2 linked regions of the Callithrix jacchus genome follow. Each later gene encodes a partner of the first gene's protein in a complex. Links are inferred from orthologs where the notes say so. Each region holds a gene or a part of one and is shown on either strand. Other genes may lie near its edges.

Region 1 (4,278 bases):
CACCCAAGCCCCCAGGTCTCCCTCTCAACCAAGGTGCAGGTATTAGGCTGGTGTAAAAGTAATTGCGGTTTCTGCTTTTTGATTTTTGTTTGAAATGGAGTTTTGCTCTTGTTGCCCAGGCTAGAGAGCAGACATTCGATCTCAGCTCACTGAAACATCTTCCTCCCGGGTTCAAGCGACTCTCCTGCCTCAGCCTCCCGAGTAGCTGGGATTACAGGTGCCTGCCACCACGCCTGGCTGATATTTTGTATTTTTAGTAGAGATGGGGTTTCACCATGCTGGTCAGGCTGGTCTCGAACTCCTGACCTCAGGGGATCCACCCGCCTCGCCCTCCCAAAGTGCTGTGATTACAGGTGTGGGCCACCGTGCCCAGCTGGTTTTCGCTGTTTTTGAAATAACTTCTGCAGCAATGTAACACAGGCTGCAGGAATTTGAGCAGCCTCGTAGAAGGTAGGGTGGGACTTCCTCAAACCGGAATTCGTTTTCTCTTTTGTTAACTTAGCACCTAAGAGTATCTTCCATTTTGCATTGGGCCTAAGTCTAAAATATTCACCACATTCTTGTGATAAAGCTAGAAGTACAACATATTTTTGAAAATAGAAGGCTTGAGCTGGGCGCGGTGGCCCATGCCTGCAATCCCAGCACTTTCGGAGGCCGAGATGGGCCACATCACCTGAGGTCAAGTTCGAGACCGGCCTGGGCAACGTGGCCAAACCCCGTCTCTACTAAAAATAGAAAAATTAGCTGGGCATGGTGGCGGGCGCCTGCAATCCCAGCTACTCGAGAGGCTGAGGCAGGAGAATCACTTGAACCCAGGAGACGGAAGCTGTAGTGAGCTGAGATCACGCCACTGCACTCCAGCCTGGGTGACAAAACTGAGACTCGATAAAGCCTCAAAATAAAATACTATATCCACCATCTGACCCCTTAATAAAAAAAATAGTTTGCTCAGCTCTCCTACACTTAGAAATGGTCATCTCTGGGAAGTGCTATAAAATATAACCGGGGCCGGGCGCGGTGGCTCAAGCCTGTAATCCCAGCACTTTGGGAGGCCGAGGCGGGTGGATCACGAGGTCAACAGATCGAGACCATCCTGGTCAACATGGTGAAACCCCGTCTCTACTAAAAATTACAAAAAATTAGCTGGGCACGGTGGCGTGTGCCTGTAATCCCAGCCACTCAGGAGGCTGAGGCAGGAGAATTGCCTGAACCCAGGGGGCGGAGGTTGCGGTGAGCCGAGATCGCGCCATTGCACTCCAGCCTGGGTAACAAGAGCGAAACTCCGTCTCAAAAAAAAAATATATATATATATATATAACCGGATATGTGTTGTGTTCCTGTGTTATCACATATGTGATTAGAAGCTGAAATATGTTTTTCACATGGGATCTCACGCCAATGCTGGAGTGCAGTGGCACAGTCAGAGTTCACTGTAGTCTCTAACCCCTTGGGCTCAAGCAACCCCCCTGCCTCAGCCTCCCAGGTAGCTGGAACTACATGAGGCATGCCACTAGTCCCCGCGGATTCTTTTAGTTGTATTTTTTGTAGCAATGGGGGTCTCACTACGTTGTCCAGGCTGGCCTCAAACTCCTAGGCTCAAGTGATCCTTCCGCCTCCGCCTCCCAAGATGATGGGAATGACAGTTGTGAGGTCCTATGTCCCGCCTACACTTGATTTTTTAAAAAACAGCTCCCTTCAGATCTGGACTCACTTTGGAAAAAAAAAAAACAAAAAACCCAGCTCCTTGGCACCTGTCTTGAGTAGCAGTGATTGGTATTGTCTTCAGCTGCGAGGCCTGGATGGGGCCAGCCCAGGTCACAGGTGGATACAGGATCAGAAAGGAACCGAACTGCATGGGACCCAGGCTTCCCGTGAGGGCTGATGCCACCCCATGCCCTCCTCACCAAAACGCCTTTTGGGGTGCCCTTGGGACTGGGCTGGTCCCTAGAGGTCATCTTCAGGCAGTTAAGCCTCCAGTACTTCAGCCAGAGTCTAAAACAAGGAGACAGCAAGTTCTGAGAGACAGAAAATAAAGCAGTTCCAGGGAGGGAACCCACCCCTGCCCCACCCCCGGGGCCTCTTGCACCTCCCAGTTTAGTAAGTCCCCAGGGACCCAGTCCCACAGCTCCCCACTGCGTTTCCTAGGTCCTGGCCTCACCAATGCCTCTCCAGCTGCCCAGATGCATGGGGGTGGAGCCCCAGAAAGAACAGCCCTGCCCCTCATCCCTCAGTCTAGGAGGTTGGGGTGACGATGGGGCTGGACACATACACTCCCTCCTGGGGACAGTCAGGGATGGGGGAGCCCTGAGAAGGTCTCCAAACCTCAACCTTAGTTTTAAGACAATTTCCTAAAGCACAGGGAGATCACTAGAAAGGGGTTTTGAAGGATGAATAGGAGTTAGCCAGGTGCACTAGGCGTGATTCATCAGACAGAAGAAATGACCTCTCTCCACCTCCATCCCTGCGGCAGCACCCAGCTCCTTCCTTGCCGCAGCCCTGCCCCTCCACGTCCCTGCAGACCCTTCCCCGACCCGGGAACCTTGGAGTCCCCCCAACCCCCAGGAGCGCGCCTGGCAACTCACGTCTCTCACAGGGCGGAAGCGGCAGAGGTCAGCCAAGTTCAGGCCAAGAGGAAACTCCTCTTTCCCTCCACGGGGGCCATTTGACCCATCGGGCCCCGCCCCGCCCCGCCCTGTCGCCGCCCCGTCCCGCCCCGCCCATGGGTCCCAACTAGCTGCCACCTGGACCGCGAAGCCGATCAATGAAGGCGCGGTAGCTGCACGTGGGTTCGGGCTCGGCGGGTCGGGGGGGAGGCCTCTGGCGGCGCTGGCCAATCGCAAGGCCGTTTACGCACGTGGGTCGCGTACGCCTTCGCTGATTGGTCGGCTCTCCCCGGCCGCCGGCCAAGCTGTCGCTCAACAAGTCAGGAGCCTCCGCTTAACCCTTTCGGTCCCGCTGCCAAGAAGGGCGGAATTGCACAGCCATGGGCAATTTGGGGTCCCAGCTTGGGCGGGGATATTTAGGAGGGCGTGGGGGCTTGAGTCTCCGAAGGTGGAACTTGGGGAGGGATAAGTGGCGAGTAGTTGCATTGTTTTATGCATTTTTAGCCCTGTCCGGTAGTGGCTTGTGGCTGGAGGTGAGGAGTGGGAGGTGGGAGGTGAGTGGGGGTGCAATCTTTAGAGCTGTCACCCCAATTCTTAGATATGGACTAATTACATTTTCCTGAATATCAAATAACGTGCAATGCAAACGAAGCTTCCAGTCCTCTTTCTGGAGCGAACTTACTGGGTCCCCTTGATGGTCCTAACCCCAGGCTATGCATTTATCACGGAATCTTCCCAACTGCTCTTCCAGCCCAGTGACAAAGGCTCTGAGAGCAGAAAGCAGGACAGCAGAGGCCCTGAGGCTGGTACAGGGTTCCCAGATCCAAGCCCCGGGTGGGAGAGAGTAATCCAGACAGAAGGAAGAGTGGCCTCTCTCAGGCAGAGGTGGGCTGGTTACAGGAGCAGACAGGGAGGCTAGAGGGGCTGCATGCGCTGGGGACAGACGTCTGAGAGAGAGACTGAGAGATGCGACTGAGAGAGAGAGACCTGCCATGTGGGGTCGGGGGGAAGGGCGGACTGGGATTCCGGTGCTCTGTTTTGGCCTATTCAAAATATGAGGTCAGACACCATGGCTCACGCCTGTGATCCCAGCACTTTTGGAGGCTGAGGTGGGAGGATCGCTTCAGCCCAGGAGTTGGAGACCAACCTAGGAACAGAGGGACACCCCGTCTCTACAAAACATTAAAAAATTAGCCGAGCGTGGTCATGCACCTATAGTCTCAGCTGCTTGGGAGGCTGAGGCAGGAGGATCGCGTAAGCCCAGGAGGTTGAGGCTGCAGTGAGCTATGATTGTGCCACTGCATTCCTGTCTGAGCAACTGTGCAAGACCCCCTCATAAAAAATATATATATTATATATATGTGACCACTTCATGTATGTAGATATTCATATATGAACATATTCCTATATATACTGAATACCTATGTTCATACATATACTCTATACATATATTCATATATGCTATACATATATATGTATATATGCATATACGTACACAGTATATATGTGAATGTATAGTATATATGCATACAGCATCTATATGGATATATGCATATACGTAGACAGTATATATGTCAATGTATAGTATATATGTATACAGCCTATATATGGATATATGGATATACGTAGACAGTATATATGTGAATGTATAGTATATATGTATACAGCATCTATA
Region 2 (3,309 bases), on another chromosome or scaffold:
TCCATGGGGATTGCAATGCTAGGGTTAATGAATGCTAACTGCCCAGGCTTGCTCGTTGGAATCACTTTTCTTAGAGTGGCCAACGAAGGCCTCACTCTAAGAAAAGGCACAGCCGGTGCTCCTCAGGGGGTCAACTACCAGCTTCAAAGTGAGAAATTCAGATGAGCTGCTTTGGGAGTACTTGTGAGCTCATCAGAAATGCAAATAATAAACCATACCCCAACAGTACCGAATCAGAATCTTCTGAAGAAGGAGCCTAGGAAATGATGTTTTAACAAACTCCCAAGGTGATTTATTACAAGCTTTAAAGTTTGAGAACCAATGACTAAAAACAAAACAGATCACCATTTGTGAGGCTATCTGCCCCCTGTGGCTGAGGGCCTGACTCTGACCATAAAATCATAAAAGGATTAGGAGTTTCAAGATGAGGGAATTCAGGAATAAACCCTACAAAACTACAACCTGCCAGCCTTCTACCTACCCTTCATATCAAAACATGAATGAGTCAATCTTTTATAAATTTGCTTTATTATAAGTGTATGAAGATCTTAATGTCACTGGGCAAAATAGCCATTTATTAGAATAGTTCAAATTCACTCTTGCAACAAAATAAACCACACTGAATCAAGACACAGGAAAAACAAATGCAGGGATTTAGGAATGCTATACTTGCTTCTCTTCAACTTTAGCAGCAGAAGTTGCAAAGTTCTCAAGATGCTACTGACACTATTGTCTTAAGCAACAGAATCCTGGGGAGTGTGGGGGTCTGATGCTTGGGCCTTCAAGTTCTTCTCAAGGTGTTTCATCTTCTCAGCTGGAAGAGAAAGAGTTGATACTAACCATGGACAGGGAGAAGTGTTCGCTGTTTCAAACTACTCAGTGATTGGGAGTTGGGGAGGAGAGGAGGATCTGCGATAGTGCTGTAGCCCAGCTGAGGCTGACTTGGGCAGTGATGGGCCTGAATCTATCAGATCTCCACTGACTTTCCCAAGGTCCTACCTCGGGGATCCCCTCCCAAAAAACTTCGTGCAACTTCCTGGGGTGCGGAAACCAAGAAATTAAGAGGTTAAGGGAGGATGGAAGGAAGCCGAGCAAGACCAGTATGGTCACTCGTGGCTTCCTCCATGTGTAATTTCTCAAAGACCCTCACCTCGGGCTCGATGTTCTCGGTGAAACCATGCCAGGCACAGGAGCATGCTCTTCACCCGATTCTGTACACGGGGCCGTCCAAAAACGGTGATTTCTACTAGGTTCCCAGAGTCCACTATGTCCACTGTCAACAGGGCCTGGCTAGTCCACTCCATTTCTGGAATTATGGCTCGGTCTGGGCCTAAACAAGTAAGGAAAGACTATTTAGGGGCCGCAGTCACAGGTTAGAAGCTGATTTGAAGAAAATGTTGACCAGGGAAGGGAACAGCTGGAAGGTGGGCACCACAGCAACACTCCTGGCTTGAGAATCTGGGAAAGAGGCTGTAGAGAGCTGCTCTGCCAAGCCTCTCTCAGACTGAGAGACTAAGAGTCTAGGTTGCTCACCAAAGAGCACGTCTGCCAGCCATGCCTCCAGGTAGAACACCAAAGGGTTTCTCAGTTCCTGCACCGGAAACCACCAGGGCCGGATGCGAATCTGTGGCAGCGGAAGTGGTAACCTACGCAGCTGCTCCAGGGAGTGGGCCGGGGTCTGTTTGCCCCAATGGGACTCAGCAGCACCAGCGTCATCGACCATACTGGGACCAGCAGCCGCGGAGTGCACGCGGGACGGCTTTCACGTGACCTCCTCCAGACTCAGCCGCGAGGCTCCGGCTCTCTTTTACAGTATTCGACCCGCTCCGCCCCTTCCGGCGGCGCCTGGCACCGCTTCCGGGTGAGCTGATGCAATCGACGCCTGGGCCTAGTGGCGCTTCGGGCACTTTCTGCGCTGCCACAATCGTCGGGACTGCCTTTTTGACCTAGAACTAGTATTCATTTGGGCTCCTGTTGGGTCTTCAACTGTCTCCTTCGACATCTCTGCCTCGTAAGGTATTTAGCCTAAAAGGCCTCTGCTCATCGTATAGCTGATTAAGTGTGAGTTTGAATCGACGACCGTGTTGACTGGGAATCACCTTTGCTGTCTAGGTTAAGGTTTCGACGTTGCCTTCTAAAGACAGGTAGATCAAACCCAGGCAGGTTTGTTGAATGTGTCAGTTTTCTCTCTTCTGCCCCCTTTTTATCTTCTGACTCTCTGGATGGTTACCATTTTGAAATTATTCCAGGAAGTGTGTCATGTTTTAAGCAAAAAATCAGAGGTGGGCTTATAGAACATGTAGCAAGTTACACAGTTTTCCTTTATTTCCACTCTCCTAGACAACCTAAGACAGCCAGTATTGATGCATATTTCTTCTCAATGTTTGTAATTTTAATTAAAAATTTGAATTATGAAAAGTTTCACACACCCAAGAGTCATATGACACAGCCATGTATCCTCTCCCAGTTTAACAGATGTTGACATTTCCCCACATTTGCTTCACTTCTCTGTTCTTTAAAATAGGTATTACTCAAGTATCTTTCCTTTCCCTCCCTAGAGGACATCATCCTGAACTAGTGTATTTCATCCCCATGCATGTCCTTACATATTTTCTACTGTATTTCTGGAAATAGTTTGGTAGTTGTTTCAGAATAGACAGTATCTGCCGAATATACTATTTTGTTCTTACAGTTAACTATGTGTTTGTTCTAAAAAATATTTTCTGGGGAACGGGAAAAAAAAAAATTCTTTTGTTCCAAGATAGGTCTCACTCTATTGCCTAGGCTGGAATGAAGTGGCACGATCTCAGTTTTCACTGCAGCCTGGACCTCTCAGGCCCAAGTGATCCTCCCACTTCAGCCTCCTGAATAGCTGAGACTGCAGGTGCCTGCTACCACACCCAACTATTTTCCATCTTTTTTTTTTTTTTTTTTTTTTGTAGAGTCAGGGTCCCACTATGTTGCCAGGCTGGTTTTGAACTCCTACCTAAGCAGTCCTCTTGCTTTGGCCTCCCAAAGGGCTGGGATTACAGGTGTGAGCCAGCATAGAAGAAAAAAACTCAAGGGCTGGGCGCGGTGGCTCAAGCCTGTAATCCCAGCACTTTGGGAGGCCGAGGCGGGTGGATCACGAGGTCGAGAGATCGAGACCAACCTGGTCAACATGGTGAAACCCCGTCTCTACTAAAATACAAAAAATTAGCTGGGCATGGTGGCGTGTGCCTGTAATCCCAGTTACTCAGGAGGCTGAGGCAGGAGAATTGCCTGAACCCAGGAAGCGGAGGTTGCGGTGAGCCGAGATTGCGCCATTGC

The links. The genes of interacting proteins can lie anywhere in the genome.
Region 2: the proteins of TLE6 (region 1) and OOEP are in contact, whole or in part, in a cryo-EM structure (PDB 8H94), measured with the Mus musculus proteins. The link is inferred for Callithrix jacchus from reciprocal best matches to the Homo sapiens genes TLE6 and OOEP. Residues at the interface, in NP_444484.1 of Mus musculus: Trp256, Ser258, Phe304, Thr305, Arg306, His307, Val318, Asn320, Val322, Asn323, Glu332, Ser333, Asn354, Ser355, Arg356, Leu373, Ala374, Ala375, Pro376, Ser377, Leu378; in NP_080756.1 of Mus musculus: Arg32, Pro33, Trp34, Trp35, Pro37, Gln39, Glu40, Glu67, Trp70, Met71, Gln73, Gln94, Pro95.

What each region holds. Positions count from the first base shown.
Region 1 is NC_133523.1:2,755,673-2,759,950, reverse strand, and holds the start of TLE6 (transducin-like enhancer protein 6), read right to left. Parts: upstream 2,810-4,278; 5' UTR 2,742-2,809; exon of another isoform or gene 2,583-2,741; intron 1,993-2,582; 5' UTR 1,956-1,992; coding exon 1,905-1,955; intron 1,896-1,904; exon of another isoform or gene 1,752-1,895; intron 1-1,751. UniProt on the Homo sapiens protein: Component of the subcortical maternal complex (SCMC), a multiprotein complex that plays a key role in early embryonic development.
Region 2 is NC_133505.1:78,457,592-78,460,900, forward strand, and holds OOEP (oocyte-expressed protein homolog), read right to left. Parts: upstream 1,829-3,309; 5' UTR 1,724-1,828; coding exon 1,534-1,723; intron 1,331-1,533; coding exon 1,151-1,330; intron 815-1,150; coding exon 735-814; 3' UTR 512-734; downstream 1-511. UniProt on the Homo sapiens protein: Component of the subcortical maternal complex (SCMC), a multiprotein complex that plays a key role in early embryonic development.